Lonchura striata: one gene and its partner. The protein of the gene in region 2 interacts with the protein of the main gene of each other region in a biochemical or structural test. Links are inferred from orthologs where the notes say so. Each region holds a gene or a part of one and is shown on either strand. Other genes may lie near its edges. The genes, in order: FGF19 and FGFR4.

Region 1 (8,390 bases), on a different chromosome or scaffold from region 2:
AAAACTATGGCTAGACAAATCTTTAGACTATAGAACAGCCTCTTGGCACTCATCTCTTACAGGTACAACAAGGACATGGCTGGCTCCATACTCAAACACACAAAAAAGTTCCCAAATACCACTACACAAAAAGCTACAAACCCTGCAGTACTCTTCAGTATTTCTGTGAACACATGTTGGGAGCACAGTCAGTTTTGGAAGCTAGGGCTCTTCACTAGGGACAGTTTGGAGGCGATGCCAAAGGGGTCCATGCTGTCCGTCTCCAGAGGCGAGGAGAAGGCCTCTGGCTCAAAGGCCTGGCTGTAATCACCATATTCACCAAAGTCTGCTGACTCCATGGGCACAGTGTTGATCATGGGCAAGAAGTGAGACAGGGGAAGGAAATCTTTCCCCTTGAACTGCTGTCTTTGTTTGGCACTGCTCAAAGACACTGATATTCCGTGTTTTTTGGATCTATACACATTGTAGCCGTCTGGGCGAATCTCCTCCTCGAAGGAGCAGTCTTCAGTGGAATACCTGAGCTGAAAAGCAAGGAATAGTGAGAATTAAAAATATGCCCACCAGGCTGGTTGTATTCAACCACAAAACAAACCTTGGGTGGGAAAAGTCCTAGTCCCTCAGTGGGGGTATCCTGGCTTTCCCAGTCCCTATTCTATTCTATTCTATTCTATTCTATTCTATTCTATTCTATTCTATTCTATTCTATTCTATTCTATTCCAGAAGCCCTGAAGTTCTTTCCATGTCCATCCCATTAAATAAGCTTTGAATCCTGGGATGTGCTTCTCCACAGCCACTACACTTATCCTGTCTGAGCACTGGGAAAAAAGTCTCAGATGCCAGAGCTGATTTAGAGATTTGCCTGTGCAAGGGCTTCAGGATCAGGTCAGTAGAAAGGCAGAGTGGCCAATCAGTAAAACAATGCTAAAAGGTAATTTCCACCTTTTTCCACTCAGAATTTACTGAAATTGCTAAGGATCCTTTTACAAAGTGTCATTTTCATGTTAACATGAGAACTGTTGAATGAATACTAGCACAAGTTAGGACTTTGTACAGAAGAATGTATTTCCTTAGGTATGAATTTGTAAGATTCCATTTGCAATGGCCTGTACAGATACTATATACCTGTAACATCTTAAGTTATAAATATATATATGTATATATAGTATTATAGTTGTATACTGAACCCATATCAGTAGAGCAGACCTCTCTAGATCTTTACACCAGTACTGTATTTCTTACAACTCTGTTGCTATTTCAGTCTCAGCTACTGCAGGTGATTGAACCTTGGTCAACAAAAGAGAATTGCTGATTATGTCTCAGTCTGCAGAGACAGAAATGTCCTCACATGGATGTTCTGCCTGTCTGAACAGAGAGCATATTTAAGACTTCTGGGCCTTTCTCAGACACTCTCAGTAAAATGGAGTAAAATTAAGGTCATGCATTTGGTTATCTTTCAAAAGCATGTTTTAAACTAATAAAGTAATTTTTAAAAAATGTTTTCTTCAAAAAAAATGGTGCAATATTTATCCTTATACACACACACATTGTATCTCAGAAAAATATCTGTATATGATAAAAAATTGGGGTTGGATTGTTGGCTATTGTTGGCTGTCTTTATGAGTGCTCAGCCTCACTAAAAAGGATGATGAAATAAAAAAGATCCTTGCTGAAGAAGTGTGCACTAAAAAGAACAGATATTGATTGAGTCTCTGTGTCTCAGCTATACCTTTCTGTCTTCACTACATTGGGATGGTCTCCAGTCTGTTTTTTTAAACAAGTGCCAAACAGACTTTTTAAATATTTCCAGATTTCGCCCCCCCCCCCCCCCCCCAGAAGGAATCACGGTATGTCAGTAGATTCAGCATTTCCCCTAAACTACTGAAAACAGCACACAGCACATTCAAAACCCAACCCCAGTCATCAGTTTTCCAGTGTCAAAACAGGCCAAGTTGCAGGAGCACAGGTTCAGCCCCTAGGCAGCATGTTTGCCCTTTTGTTCTCCTAGTCCTGAGCATGCTGCTGATAAGGTAAAGATTTACCTGCAGAACTGCCTGGCTGGGCTGTGAGCACAGAGGTGACAGCAGGTGTCCCCAACACGGAGATGGGACAGCACAGATATATCTGTTATGTTTTCAGAATAAAACCCCAGCCTGCATCTAATACACTACGCCAACAAATGCAGCTCCAGTCAACGTGTATGCCTTCAAAATGGTGCTATAGGAAGGGCATTTTAAAATTCTGTGATTACTCAAGTTCAGCTGGTGACACCAATGGGAGCAGAATCCAGGTTCTGATTTGTTTTGGATATACATTAAATAATTAAGCTAATAATTTACCTACCATATAGTCTGAATTTATGCACCTCATCTCAGCCTCAACTGTTTTGAGCCCAGAAAAGCAACAAAATTCAGAAAGAAAGGCTTAATTCTGTGTTCTGCATTCTTAATTTCAAACACATTCAGAAACATCAGTGTTGCTGTTATTAAAGATACTGGGTGTTTTGAGAATGGGCCAAGTCCTTTCCTAAATAAAATAAGCAGAAATTTTCCTGGGGTGATCAAAAAAGAATCAAGCTGTATCTTTACTGTGGCATCATGAAAAGCCATCGCTCTGTGAAATTCAGGCTTCTGTACAGACCAAATCTGAGCTGCAGCTGTCAAATTCTAGAGTCAAGAATATGTTCACATGCCTTAAAAATGAGTTTATGTCAATGACTAGTTGCTAAACGTAGTGAAAAAGCTGATCTAGTGGCATCAGAGAGGCACATAACTCCCCAACCCCTCAAAATCCCGCAGCTGTGCTGTTATAGCAGGGCAGAAGTGAGGTGGTGGAGAAGCATCCTTTCCCCCTCAAAATCCTTTTCTTGTCTGCAACTTCCTAAGAGATGGCAACTCATGTTCCTGGGGGTTGTATGCCCGGCAGCCAGCTGGCTGCAGCTATTCTCCAAAGGAGCAATCTCTTTATAATTTTATTTTCCAGAATACCTGCCTGGAACAGTGAGAAATTACTCATATTCTATTGCAGAGCTTAATCTATTCCTGCAGTAGAATCACAGTCTCCCACCGATGAGAATTCTAAACCTAAATGCCATTTTACCCTGGGCTGTACTTTCAGTATATTTTGGCAGGGGACACTCAGAACATCATTTACTCTCTAAATGACGTTTCTTTTCTGCCTTCTAACAATCCCCACAGCCTTTCGGGCAGTGAGGGTGACGAGAACCGCAGGTCCTAGGGGAGAACAGGCAGGGAAGGTGTGGGAGGGACGGTGGCGGACACCTGGAAGTTTTGTTACCCCATTATTAGACCACGCCGCTGTTCCAGAGCGGAAAATCCCCCCGAGGACAGCAGCGCGGGTGCTCACCTGCCCGTGCAGCCGCCCCGCCTCGTCCATGCACAGGTACCGGGAGCTCTGCACGCCCTTGATGGCCACGGTGCGCACGGCCACGGCGCGAATCTCCAGCAGACCTGCGGGCAGACAGAGAGAGGGGACAGCAGTGTCACCCCCGGCCCATCCCCATCGCCATCGCCATCCCCGCCTCCGCCACTCACTCTGCGGGCTCTGGCTGCCGGCCGCGTCCACCAGCCCGTCAGCGCCGATACGCAGGAAGCAGCTGAAGAGCCCGTGCTTGCTGGCGGTGTAGAGGTGCCGCAGCCGGATGGGCTCTCCCCAGCCGTAGTTGAGGTGCGGGCCGGCGTCGGGCAGCGGCAGCGGCAGCGCGGAGGCGGCGGCGGCCGCCAGAGCGAGCAGCGCCAGCGCGGCGGGGCGCAGCCCCATCCCGGCGCGGCGCCTCGGGGCTGTAGCGCGGCCGCAACCGCCCCCCGGCCTTTTATAGCTCGCCGTAATCAGCTCCATCGATCCGCATCCGATATAGAGCCCATTTCATAGCCGGGTCGGTCACTCCCCCGAAAATATTAAGCGGGTGACACCCTAAAGTCGCGTCCTCCGCATCCGCATCTCCGAGCTCTCTGCTCCTGAGAGGCTCTGCCCGCGGTCCCAGGGCACTGCGCGTCCAGCAGCCCCGATGCGACGCCGGGACGGGGACCGGGGGTGGGCGTGTGTGTACCCAGCCCACCCAGTGACAGGAGGCTGCCCCGCTCCCCGCCGCGGCTCAGCCCCTGCCTTCGCCCTTGCCCGTCCTGTATTTCATTTCCCTTTTCAGAAATAAAAGAGCTGCTGCCTAAACCTGGGCTCGCCTCTCCGGCAGGGGCCGAACGCTCGCTGCGGGAGCGGCACAGCCGCTCCCCGTTCCGGGCAGCCGGCGGGGCACACGGCACTGGTACAGCCCGGCCTGGCCCTGCAAAGCCCGGTCCGGCCGGGTACCGGCGGCTGCAGGTGTCCCGGCGCGGCTCCGGGCTGGATCCCCGCCGGCCATCCCCGGCCGGGTCACTAGATGGAGCCTGGCCCCTGGGATGCGGCTGCCTCGCCTCGGGGGAGCCGCTCTGGGGGCGCTCTCCAGCTCCTGATTGTCCCCACTTCTTACAAAGAGACTGGGAGGAAAAAATCCTGGGTGAAGTAAAACTGCATTACCCGATTTAAGGTTTTCTGGTCCGCGCATGGATTTTTTCCACGTGGGCTCCTCCCAGGGAGCTCGCTCAGCGAGTGCCCCTGGAAAGAAGACACACAAATTTGGCGGCTTTCCACCGTATTTGCATCTCAGACATATTTAAAGGGATTGCTGCCGACTTTTCTGCTGTACATCCAAAGTAATCGTTGAAGGAATTTTCTCAGATTCCCAAAAAGAAAACTGGCAATTTCATAAAGAATTCCACCCCTCCCGCTCCCCCCCCTCCCCCCTGGCCAGGACATTAAATGACAATTCAACAAGACATAGCCCCACCTCCAGACCATCTTCTCTGAAACACAAAGCTTCGATCAGCTTCCACATACTGTTTTTATATTTTGCTACTTGTTCACTTTCATCCTTTTGTCCCTGCACTTGAATCTCCCTCCTGCAAATACTCCCACAAAAAACTGTTCTTCATAAGCAATCTTAGCTCAGTGAGGATGAGCACACAGACAAGCTATACAAAAACACAGAGGCTTGTTAGGAGGGAGGATATCTTGCACTTATTTTCATGTGCAACTTCAGGTGTATTTAACTGGAGTTAAATCCAGTCCACATTTGGATGACCAGGGTCTTGCATAACAAACTCACTGGGAACAAGGGATTAAATCTCATCAATCACTCCAAAAGCAGCTTTTGATTAGCTTTGGGCATTTTTTTGGTGATCAGCTTGAAACACCCAGAAAAAAACCCTAGTTTTTCCCTGAATGATCGCTGAATAATTAATAAGGATTAAGATCACTTTTCATTCAGGTGTCTCCTGCTGCATCCTCCAAATAATGTGTGGGCTTTCCTACCAATTCTGGTCTCCCTTACATCACGGAAGTTCACAGTATTATAAGCCCAGTAAATAATACTAAGGCATGCAAGTCCCTAATTCTTTTTTCCTCTGCAATGTTATTACATGGCTGCTACAAAGGCAGTTCCTGCCCTGCAACCCTGGGCCCCACAGCAGTTGTGCATGTAACTCATCCTGGCATTCTTCAAGGTAATGAGCACCCACCACACACGCGGAGGTTATGGTCTGAAATTAATCTGAAGGGCTTCTTTAGTTCTATTTTTCTGTGCATCTCAGTTAATAGAAGCTGTTTTATGACCCTGCTTATGCTATACTCTAGTGGGAACAATAATCATGATCACAAGTGTTATTTTCTTCATCATGAAGTTCAGGCTTCTTTCAAGTAAGGAACTGATGCTTGGAACTTGTTAATTCATCTCTGTGAGGATCAAAAATTGAGGCAGAAAGGGCAAATCACACTAAATGATATCTCAAATCAGTGAAAAAGGGGGCTATAAAGGAGAATTTCCCAGCAAATGATGGAGAGCCTTTAAAAATAATTTTCGTTGTTGCTGTTGCTGATGTTGCATGGGCTGATGTTAAAGGGTTTGTGTATAATCAAATTGAAACAAAAATTACCACTTAACAAATTTTTTTTTGGAATGGCCTCTCTTGTTAGGGCAAGGTTCCAACCTAAATAATTTGTCCAAGTTCCCCCATAGTCCCTGACAGAGCTAAGTGTCTGCAAACACTTAACTAGACTGAATGGTGCCAATTCTATCACAAAACAGCTGCTGAAGAGATATGGGTTGAATATACCCTGGAAGTGTTCATTTCTTACTGCCTCTGTAAAGAAAAAAAAATAAAAAAGCCTCGATGATTTATTCAGATTCAGGTAACTTATTTTTAGCTAGAAACTAAAGAGAACTTATTTTTAGCTAGAGATAAATGAGCTAGTGAGTGTCACTGAATTCAAAATACAAGAGTTGCGACACATTATTTTAATTTCAGTTCCTGTCTGTGTCACTGAACTTTATCGTTTATTGGCATGTTTTATCAAAGTTCAATAGAAAGACACATGCATTTGCATTTTCTTACAAATGAATTTGCAGGAAAAGAGATGTTTGCAGAACAAATGTATTGTAGGGTAAATCCCACATTCACTTCCAGTGCTGGACCTGCTTCCTGAAACAAGGAAACCTGGTAGTGTCAGATTTTCTGCTTTTATGAAGATAGGAAAAACAACAAAACCCAGGAGGAAAGTCTTATAGACCAAAAATACCTCCTAACTAAACATACACAATTACAAAAGCATTTTCACCTGTTGCAATGCATCATTCATTTCCACTGCACTTTTCCATGCCCCAATGCAATTTCTGCAGAACGAGAAGTCCAGATTTCAGCAATAATGATGTTGAAGTGAATGTGTTTTAGAAGAATAAAATTAGCTATAATTAAAAGTCAAACATCCAGAGATCCTGGAACACACCAAAAAGGTAACAGAGGGCTTGCACCTTACTGGATAACGACATCATTGAAACTAACTGAAAAGAAACTAAGGAAGGTGGCCACAAAAAATGGTGAGGAAATAGGGCAAGAAGCCACCCATGAGTCAAAGTAGGTTGTAGCAGGCTACCTTTGTGGTGGAGATCAAAGGAAGAATGATATAGGTGAGTCACTCAAGGCTGAGTGAGGGTCAAAATGTGATAAAAACTGGAGGTGTTTAGGATGAAGAGACATTTTCTCAATTATGGAACTTTGGAATATCATGGTGACAGCTTTGGTTGTACGAGTCACTGCAGGAAGAGGGAAATACCTCAGAAACACTGAAGACTTTCTCCTTCCTTTGGGCTGTCTTTGGGACCTCCTGCAGATTTTGTATTTGGCATTACACAAGTGTTATCTAGTATTACTTTTGTGAAGAGATCTGTCAATCTTCCCCCTTTTCTCTGAAGTCAGAGGTGGGAGAATTACAGAAGCTGCAAATACTCTGAGGGCAGTAAGGTTCCAGGCAGGACTGGAGATGTCAGTGCTAATGCTGCCAGTTTCTGGTTTCTGCTGTGGTTCCTGCCAGTCATCCCTGAAGTGTCAGAGAAAAGAAAATTATTTTACCCGTGGCAGAGAGCCAACAGAGCAGTCCAGCCTTTTCTCTTGCTTCTGGTGGAGAAGAATATGTCAGGAGAATGAGGGAAGGCATAAGTGAAGACACAGGACACTGTGATACACGGTTACTCGAGCACGAGCTTGTTCTATATAGAGCCTTATCAGCACAGCACAAGTTAAAAAACCTGCCTAAGAAGGAGAGGTTACTCCACCATATGTCAGGGACTGCTCTGCTTCCCAGCTGCTTCTGCAATCCAAGAGGCATGGAGGTGACAATATTTCTCCCGGGGCTGTGAATGAGTGCAGAATTGAGATTCCACAGCTCCTGCTGGGCGCGCCCACTGACAGGATGTCATAGGATCAGGAGAGCACTCAGTCTCTCCCCTGATACCACAGTCCTCGGTGAATTTGTAGGATTCAAATGCATCAGAGACTTATAGATTTTCCAAATGATCCACTTCCAGAGGGATTCTGCTTTTAAAACTGCTCTGCTAATGAAGGACAACACACTGAGGAGATTGTTGCTACTGCAATTGGCATGTGTTGTTGCTGGTTCTTTCCAAGTAGCACAGCCAGACAACCAATTTCAAATATCTCTCACCATTCTGTTATCTAATGCTTCCTCAGCTATTGCTATCAGTCAATGCATTCCGGAGAGCAATACTGAGCCTGGAATCGACTTGGAGCTTGCATAGTCAAATGATATCTTCTGGTTAGGTCTGCTCTAAAGTTCACAAAATTCCCACCAGCTTCAAATAGCCTAAATGCTTTTTTTTCATCACTGTAAGCCATTATTTCATGTTTTAGAGGTATTTTATCCACTCCAATCTTTTCTGTGTGCTATGAAATCCTTCATAATTCCACTATAGAAGAAATCTTACCGATTTTATGGGATCATATTTGATACTGTGCTTCTCCAGCATTAAACCAACAAAAGCTGT
Region 2 (9,028 bases):
TGTCTGTGTACTTGGTCTCAGGGGCCTCAGCTTCCCGCACCAGCTCCTCTTCTGCAGGGAGTGAATGTGTTGGCCTGAGACATGGCCTCTGCGTGCTGGGGATCCCAGACCCCACACCAGAACCCCACCCCTACCTGGCAGGACAGTGAGCCAGGCAGACTGGTAGGAGAGGCCGATAGAGTTCCCTGCCAGGCAGGTGTACTCGCCAGCATCCTCCATGGACACGTTGCGCAGGTACAGCACCTCCACCTCAGAGCTGTTGATATCTGCAGTCTGTCAGAGAGGGATGGACGGTCAGTATCCCTCTTCCTCAGGGAGCTCTGTGCACCCCTGTCACCACCTTAGCACAGGTATCTGGGACCTGAGTGCTTCCAGCCCTTGTTACCTTGAGCACTTGCACATAGGGGACCCCGTCGGGGCCGTAGTTGCTGCCATTCACTTCAATGTGCTTCAGCCACTGGATGTGGGGCTGGGCATCACTGTAGACCTTGCAGAAGAACTCCACATCGCTGCCCACCAGGGCTGTGGTGTTGGCAGGCAGCCCAGCCTGCAAAATGGGCCTGTGCGGGGACCTCTCTGCACACAGGGAGCAGAGCAGTGTCACTAACATGGTGGCCCAGAGTACAGGCTCCTTTCTCCCTCCTTCTCCACCCACCATGGAGCCACATTGGGCCCTTCCCCAACCCTAAAACAGACCAGCGCAACCCAAGCCTGGTCTCCATCCCATGTCCCTGGATTGTGAGGGACATGTGAGCTGCATCAGTGGGTAGGTCACAGAGGCTCCTCCACCCCTTTCTCTGACCCCACCAGGTATGGGGAAGCCCAGATCAGCACATGCTGAGGAACCCTCACCCAACACATCCAGGAGGTAGCTGTAGCGGATGCTGCCAAACCTGTTTTCCACCAGGCAAGTGTAGTTGCCACGGTCAGAGGGCACCACACTCTCCATCACCAGGCTCCAGTGCTGGTGCCGGAGCTGCAGAGAGGGAGGTAAGGCAGTGAGGTGAGCTGGGGAAGAGGGATCCTGGGAGGGAAGCTGTGGTGGGAGGAGCTGTCCCATACCCGGATGCCCCCGATGCGGTGCTCCCCTCGGAACTCTCGACCATTCTTGAACCAGCGAATGCTGGGGCTGGGGCTGCCTGAGGCCGGGCAGCGGAACTTCACCGTGTTCCCCGCAGGGACTGCATACAGCTTCTTGTCCATCCGGTGTGGGTGAGTCCAGTAAGGAGCTGGGGACGTGCAGGATGTACAATGGGAGGGGGCCTGTACAGGTAGCAGGAGGCAGCAGTGCCCCATGCCCCTGGTTCTGCCCCACCTGCCCTCTCCTGTAGTGCCCTGGTGTGGCACTGACCTCTGTGCACATAGACCGACTCCTCATTTCGGTCTCCGTGGGGACTGTCCCCATCACTATCTTCATCATCATCACCTGATGCCAGGGAGTCTGCAAAGGGAAACGGTTGAGAAGGACATCCCTGCCTGCAGGGCTGGGCAGGCAGTGGCTGCTTTGCTGCCCCAAGGGTAGCTGGGTGCTGCCGGGGCTCCTACCCACGACAGAGATGGTGAAGTTGCGCAGGACCTCTCCAGTTCCCCGTGCCCGGCACACATAGAGCCCTGAGTCCTCGTAGGTGACCTCTGAGATCTCCAGCAGGCTCTGACGGAGGTGGATGCGACCTCCTGAGACGAGTGGCCGGGACTCCTTGTACCAGACCACACTGGCACCACTCTGGTTGGCATCACAGTACAGCTTCAATGTGTTGCCTGGGTCCAGGAGGAGATGTTCATCTTCTGACTCCAGCAAGGGGCTCTCAAATAGCTCTGGAGAGATGTGGTGAGCACCCACCCCAGTGCTCACCCCTCCCTGATAGCAGGACCCCTCCATATGCCCATCCTAGTGTGGAGAGCATGTGGTGTGACACAGCCCAGAGCCTGGCTCTGCCACCCTAGAAGCAGGTAAGGGCTGGACTCTGACCTGAAGCACGGGGACATGATTTCCCCAATGGCATGTCCCTGGCCAAGGCCATACATGCCACTATCCTTCCACCACTCCCAGCGGTGCAGGGTGCTCCAGCTTGCTCTGCCTTACTGAAGGAGGGCAACAAACCCCTCCAGACACCCATCGTCGGACCTCTACATGCCCCAAGCATGGCTGGGACCCCTAAAGCCTGGTTGTCCCTGGCAGTGCCCGGCTGGCAGTGGAGCCCAGCTTGCCGATGGCCAGCAGCAGCATGTGCCCGTGGAGGGCAGAAACAACCTGGTCGCCAGCACAGCAATACCACGGCAGCACGACTGCCCATGTGCAGGAGCCTGGAGTGCACGAATGTGCCTCCAGCCCAGTGCATGGCCAGCACAGGAGGGATGTGGGGCAGCTGCTCTCTGGTCCCGGGGGACGCATCCTTCTCCCGCACCCACCACCTCGAGGCACGCACTGCCCGCATTTCACCAGGTGTCACACACAGCAGCCACAGCCCACAGCGGTCTCACAACCCCTCTCTGCCACGCGTGTCCAGCGAGCGAGCCAAGCCCCCGCAGCACAGGGACAGCCTGGCTGGAGCCACCCTGCCCCTGTCAGTGATGGGAACACCGGTCCCTGTGCCCTGTCCCCAGTTCCCACCAGCCCTGCCCTGCAGGCAGAGCGGTGGGGCTGCATGCCCAGGGCAAGCACTCGCATCCCAGCCCAGGGGTCGCCGCCCAGCCGGGATGGAGAAAGTATTCAGAAAGCAGGAACCCACTCCCACCGCCCCCGGGTCCGCGTCGCCCCCCGCAGCCGTACCTGGCTCCATCGCCCTGCCCCGTGCAGCTACCGCCAGCAGCAGCCCCGCCACGACCTGCAAGAGGGGCCGCATCTTCCAGGCCCCCCCAGCGCGGGGGTCCCACCCTGCGGGACAGGCAGGGTCGGGTGAGCGGATCCGGGCGGGCAGACCCCTCCTCTCCCGAGGCACCGGGGAGAAGCAGTGCGAGGTCCCCAGGTCACCGCGAGGGTGGGTGGGCATGGACGGGAGGCAGAGCACGGGGGTCCCTGGGCAGGAATGGGAGGGGGCACGGAGAGTGGGAAACACCCCGTTTGAGCGCCGGGAATTCGACCTCTCCGGCCAGCTTCAGCCTGGTCAGGGCTCTAGGGGAGGTTAACCGGGGGCGGGGGACCACGGAGAATCCCAGGCAGGGGGGAGTGTCCCGGGAGGGGGGGCCCGAATGGTGCCGGGGGCGAGGGTCGCGGTCGGCGCGGTTACCGGCGGTGACGGGCTCCCGCGGCGGAGCCGCCTGCGCTGCGCGGGCCGGGGCAAAGTCCGGGGACAGCGGGCTCAGCGCCGCCGAGCCCCAGACCGTGGCCCCATGGCGGCAGGGCCGGGACGGCTCTGGCTCCGGGCTCGGGACGGCTCCGGCGGCGGGCAGGGCTGGGGCTCGCTCCCGGCTGGCTCCGGCCCCGCTCTGCCGCCGCCTCGGGGGCGCGGGCACTTTGTAGGGACGCGCTCGGGTTACAGCGGCCCCGCCCGGAGCGCTGGGGAGGCGGGAGGGGTGGGGGGACGGGGACCGGCCCCGCATCTCCGGCATCTCTGCAAACCGACCGACCTGCCGCCGAGCTGGACGGGGGAAGGTGGGGGGTAGCACCGGCCTTTCCCCCGCAGCGGCGAGAGGCGGCCCCCGGCCCACTCTGTCCCGGCTCCGCCGGCACAGCCTCCCCTCGCGGGTGGGGAGCACAGGGGGCTGCAAAACACCCGGGGCTGCTCCCCTCTGCTGTCCTCCAGGCAGACCCCACGCGTGGGGAGCAGCAGATGGGACAGGGGGCAAGGCCACCCCTGTTTCCCCCCGATTGCTGGGGGTGGGAGCACTTCAGCCCCAAGCAGCTGTCATGGCCCAAGCTGGGCGCTGAGCGTTGCTGGGTGCCCAGCAGCCCACACGCTAATTGGCTAATTGTGCCATAATTAGTTGTAGCGTTATCGCTGTCAGTGCCATAAAGTGGCTGTGACCCTCATTAGGAGCCCATAACGGAGCATCATAAAACGTGGCTAAGGTGCGAGCCAGCGTTGGAGTGGCCTAATCCAACCCATAAACACTTCGCCCTCACCTTCCCTATGCTGTTGCCTGTGCTGGGGCAGGCAGACCCCACCATGCCCAAGCCCTGTTGCTGGCTGGCCCATACAAGACCACTGGACACTGGGGGATGCCTGGCCTTAGGCACTTCGAGTTGGCGTGATCCCAAGGAACAATGTCCCCTGAGCATCCTGCTGCCATCAAGAGGGGTCAGTGTCCCCCAGTACATGGCCAGGGTCTGGCCCTAGAGTTGCTCTCCTTTCCTGCATTGCATCTGTTTCGCCATCTGCTTTCCAGCAAGATCTTCCAGGGTTATGCTGAGCCCCACACAACAGCCTTGCCCATGCCTGGCGTGGACCTTGTGGCCCTGTGAGTGGGGTACACTGTCACTGTCACCCCTCTTTTTGTAGGATCAAACCTGAGTCCTGGGCACAGCCTTGTCCATGCTGCTCCACTGCACCAAACCATCCAGCATGACATGGTTTCACTGTGAGGTCTGGTTGGTGCTACAATCTCCCATAGCACCATCCACCCTGTGCTGCTCCCCATCTGGAGTACTGGTGTGTGTCCCCTTGGGGTGCAGAGGTGCACAGAGCAGTCCTGGGGGCCAGCAGCCCCCAGCAGCTGTTCATTCCTGCTGACGCGTGAAGCGGACGAGAACATCAATTTCACGGAGCAGCGGCCGCCCCTGCAGAGTTCACAGTGTGCCGGAAGCACAGAAAAATGTTGGGTTCAGCTCAATTCGAACCAAAACCAAATTAAAACCAGAGAGAAGGGGATGTTCCCAGTATTTGGAACACCAGGGAGAGCTGGGACTCTGGGGAGCCTGTGGGAGACACAGCCTGGGATGAACATGGAAAGATTCCCTGTATCCCAGGGTTCCCCAATGCTGAGTGGAAGAAGGGCAAGCAGACCAGTGTGGGCATGTTGCCCAGTGTCACACTGAACATCCCCACTGGGCCAGGACAATGCCAGGCACAGGCCAGGGCTTGGTGGGGCTCTGCTGTAGGCAGCTGGGAACTGGTCACCTCCCTGCCATGGGGCAGTGCTGGGCTGGGGCTGGGCTGCCTGGCTTGATTTATAACAGCAACTGACGGCAAACAAAAAGCCCTTCACAGCAGCCCAGCCCCACCGCCTGCCACCCGCTGCCGGCAGCACCACAACGGCTTCTGCCACGCCAGCAGCTCAACAAGGGGGGATTGTGCCAGCACAGCACTCTGCGCTGTGGGTGCACCCCTGCCCCAGCACCCTCCTCTGATGGCCATCTCCCCCAGCTCATGGGCTGCCCCCATCACTGTGGCACAAGTGACAGCTCACAGCGCGGTGCCCAGAGATGAAGTGTGTTCTCAGAACTTCACAGATGTTGCAGAGGGATCCCTCTTACCCCATGTCCCGTTGGGAGAGACGACCCCCTTGCCAGATCCTTGGCCTTGCTAATATGTGCGGGGCCCCGCAGCAGCGAGCACGCACAAGGGGCCGGGCGCCGGCATGCTGGGGCTCCATCCTCCCGCCCCTGCCCCTTCCCCCAGGCAGTAAATCATCCCCACTCTCCTCATGAAAGGCCCATGTATGTGCTGCCGGTGCAGGGAGCCTGCCTGGTGCCAACAATATTGCTCTTGGAAGGCAGCCGGAGCTGCGGGAACACAGCCGCCCCTTGTGCCTGGCCCCAGCACTTGCCGCCACTCCCGCTGTGGTGGCACCTGCGGCCAGCCAGAGCCCGCGCAGCACGGTGGCTCCTGTGGGGGCCGGAGCCTGGGGGGCTCTTTCCTCCTGGAAGTTTCTCTTGGCCTCTCCTGAACGGCTCTTGTTTGGGGCACAGAAGCCCCAGCTCACTGTACGTGCACAGGATCTGAGGCTGAGCATGCTCATTCAATGTGCTGGGGTGATGTGAACCTTCTGGCACTGAGGGAGTGGGTCAGCCCTGGAGCAAGGGTTTCCAGCTCCATCCAGTCCACTGGCTTCAACATGGTAGCTTCCAGCCCCAGCCACAACCTGCTGCCCTCATATCAGTGGGGGCCCGCTGAGGAAGGGAGGGAGCAAGCTGGATAGGCAGGCAGCTGCCCCAGACTGGGCAGGATGCTCTGCAGGGGCTGGGTCCTGCCCTGGAGGCAAGCAGCCAGGTTTGGGGCAGTATGCCCCATCAGGCCGTGGTCTTTCCTGCCCATCCTTATCTCTGGCTGGGAGGGACTGATGGAGCAACCCAGCTTGGTTAAGGTTTAACCAGGCAGAACTTGGCAAACATAAGCCTGCTGCTCCCTCTGGGGAGCCAAGAATGTGGGGCCCAGTGCAGGGGCTGCAGGACAGGGATATCAGGGACCCAGGCTTCTTCTAGCCCCCAGCATGGCACAGGAGCATCCACAGACTTGGGCAGTGAAGGCTGAGTGGGGAACACACAAGTTGAGGGCAATATGGCAGGAGGGTGGGCAGTGTCATGCCTTGTCCTGCTGCAGCCCTGCCACCTCTTCCTCCCCTGGCTGTGTGGGGGAGTGCTGCAGCTGCAGCTGGCACGGGGAACGAGGTGCATGGGGCCAGAACATCTCCTGCTCCCCATGGGAACATGGCACACACCATGTGCTGGGTTGGGCAACACAGTGCTGATCTGTGGCCAAGAAAGCAGGAGCTTTACTCACCAGCCCTGTCCCCTGCACAACATTTGGGGGTTCAGCCTGGTAAAGCAGCAGCCATGGCAAGGAACTGCAAAGCAAGAATGGGGCCACCCAATTTTCCCAGCCCCTAATTGTAAGCAGGCACCCGGTCCTGACTCCACATCTGCACTTGATTTACTCAATGGAGCCTGCGGGGCCACGAGGGATGGCAGTGGCTGGGACTGTGGCCAGGACTGAGCTTCTCCTGGCTGAGGCAGGGATACTGGGTGTGCTGCTGGAGGAGCAACAGGCTCCACAGAGCTGGCTGCGGCCTGGGCAGGGGACTGTGGTGCTTCTGTGGAGGATGTGGCTGCTGGGTGGTTCTACGCTCTGTCCTGCGCCTGCCAGCCCAGAAGGCGATGGAGTTCAGACTGGCGACACAGCCAGAGCTGTGGCCCGGGGCAGGGAGGCGCAGAGCTGGGCCAACAGCACACCAACACCAGGGCACACCTAGGGACAGGCACCATGCTCCATCCTCAGCTTCCCGGCCATGTGGGTGGCTCTGGTCCCACAGCCAGGCTCCAGGTCCCCTCCTGTCATCCTGGGTGTGCCCATGGGTGCTGGTGCCCTCTGACAACAGTCCAGCAGCAGAATGGGCAGCCCACCAGAGGGGACAGGGAGAAGGTGCCACTACCAGCTTGCTGCCAAGCCCTCCTTACACCAGATAGACACTTCCTCTCACACCACACCCACCTTCACAGGAAGCAATTACACAATGAAAACTACTCTAAGGGAGTGAAGTATTTGCTGTCTAGCAAGTCTCTTCCAGCTGGATCCTTTTCCTGACAGATTCAGTCCCCGTTCTGCTCAACGGGTGTATACAGGAGGGTAGGGCTTTGCTTATCCAGAGGGATAATGAAACCATTGTGGGCTGGCAAAGGATGTGCGCTCTGGGGCCACCAACAACTCCGAGAATAGTGCTGCAACTTGCTCTAGAGGTCTTGGCTGAAGTAACTATAGCCTCCTGGGCCAGTTGACTCTTCCCGGACATACTGTTGTGGCGGGAACGGTCCGACAACCGGCACTGCTCCTGGCATCCTGCACGTTGAAGGGAGCAACAAAAAGGAAAAAAAGGAGACAATGTCACAAATGCTCTGAAATGTGCCAACTGCAATCACTGCTCAGCAGGCAAGGCTGTCAGCAGAGCAACAACCCACTGCAGCCAAGGGAAGATTTGCCAGAAAATCTTCCAAGTGAATCCCTGCTCTCTGTGCCTGTGTGTAAACAGACACCTTTAGCATGGCAGAATTAGCTGCGGCAGAGCTCAAGGACTGCTAAAGAGCTCCCATTACAAAGCAAGCATCCTGCCTCTCTGCAGGCTGCAGAAGCTGGAACAGGACTGCACAGCTGAATCCAGAGGAGCATTCTGAAAGAGAGTTGTGTGGCTGCAACAGCTCCAACAACAGCAGTGTTCTTAAAGAGAACATTAATGTGTATGCGTTGGGAACATCCTCAGTGTTATCTCTCTAGAATGGGATACTTCCTATTCACTAATCTAGTTGTGCTGTTCGAGAGCTGGAACTTCCCTGGGATGAAAGATGTTTTCTCATCAAGTACTCCCCAGAGCTGAGGGACCAGGAGGCTGTTATTCCATAGAGAGGGAACAAGAGATGCCAGTTTTCTTCCTGTCCCTTCTGGGGAATTTGGCTAGGAGCCTGCCCTCCCTTCAGGTAGGATTTCCTAATGCCTCTTCCTTCTAAGAAGCTTTCTAACCAACCCAGGCTCATTACTGTGCCTCTTTTAGTGAAGGCTCTTAAATTAAAGATTGGCAGTCTCCAGAACAAGTATTTTTGGTATTAATCATCTGGAAGCATAATTTTTTTCAATTAATAATATATGCAGGGGATGCCATTATTTAACTTGCCAGCTGTAAGAGCGAGTTCAGGAATATAGTCCAGGCTTCTGGAGCGTGCTGACTATATGCCAAATTTTAAAACAAACAATCCCAATGGAGATTAGAATTGCAAGCAGATCTCCACTGAACCAGTCCTTAATTAAATTAAAATCTCAGTTGTTAAGAGAAACTGTGTTTAATAGGTGTCAGGTTCACTGCAAAGGTCTGTGCTGAGCTGAACTATTAGGAACCTAAAGTCACCGGAGGCACTTCCACCTCGGCAGCACAACTGGGCGGTCTGCAGAGGGAGCTCCTGGAGCAGCCTCGGGACACAGAGAGCCTGCACAGACCCTGCTCTTCTGTTTGGAAGTCAGCTGGAAACACGTGCTCAGAACTGCATTTTAGGTTATATTTAGGCCATCGATTTTAACAGCAAGGCTGAAACACTCTTAGACAAGAACATTACTTACTGATTCTTGTGTTTGAAGCCACTGATGTGAGCTTGGTACTGCTCTATGGA

The links.
Region 1: the proteins of FGFR4 (region 2) and FGF19 form a complex in vitro, tested with the Homo sapiens proteins (2 studies listed by BioGRID and IntAct). The link is inferred for Lonchura striata from reciprocal best matches to the Homo sapiens genes FGFR4 and FGF19.

What each region holds. Positions count from the first base shown.
Region 1 is NC_134608.1:55,200,309-55,208,698, reverse strand, and holds FGF19 (fibroblast growth factor 19), read right to left. Parts: upstream 3,779-8,390; coding exon 3,553-3,778; intron 3,469-3,552; coding exon 3,365-3,468; intron 522-3,364; coding exon 189-521; downstream 1-188. UniProt on the Homo sapiens protein: Involved in the suppression of bile acid biosynthesis through down-regulation of CYP7A1 expression, following positive regulation of the JNK and ERK1/2 cascades. Stimulates glucose uptake in adipocytes. Activity requires the presence of KLB and FGFR4.
Region 2 is NC_134617.1:3,320,748-3,329,775, forward strand, and holds the start of FGFR4 (fibroblast growth factor receptor 4), read right to left. Parts: upstream 3,283-9,028; 5' UTR 3,228-3,282; intron 2,876-3,227; 5' UTR 2,844-2,875; coding exon 2,771-2,843; intron 1,816-2,770; coding exon 1,546-1,815; intron 1,442-1,545; coding exon 1,352-1,441; intron 1,230-1,351; coding exon 1,063-1,229; intron 977-1,062; coding exon 853-976; intron 577-852; coding exon 386-576; intron 274-385; coding exon 135-273; intron 52-134; coding exon 1-51. Other genes in the region: ZNF346 (zinc finger protein 346), read right to left, coding at 7,607-7,712, 8,979-9,028. UniProt on the Homo sapiens protein: Tyrosine-protein kinase that acts as a cell-surface receptor for fibroblast growth factors and plays a role in the regulation of cell proliferation, differentiation and migration, and in regulation of lipid metabolism, bile acid biosynthesis, glucose uptake, vitamin D metabolism and phosphate homeostasis.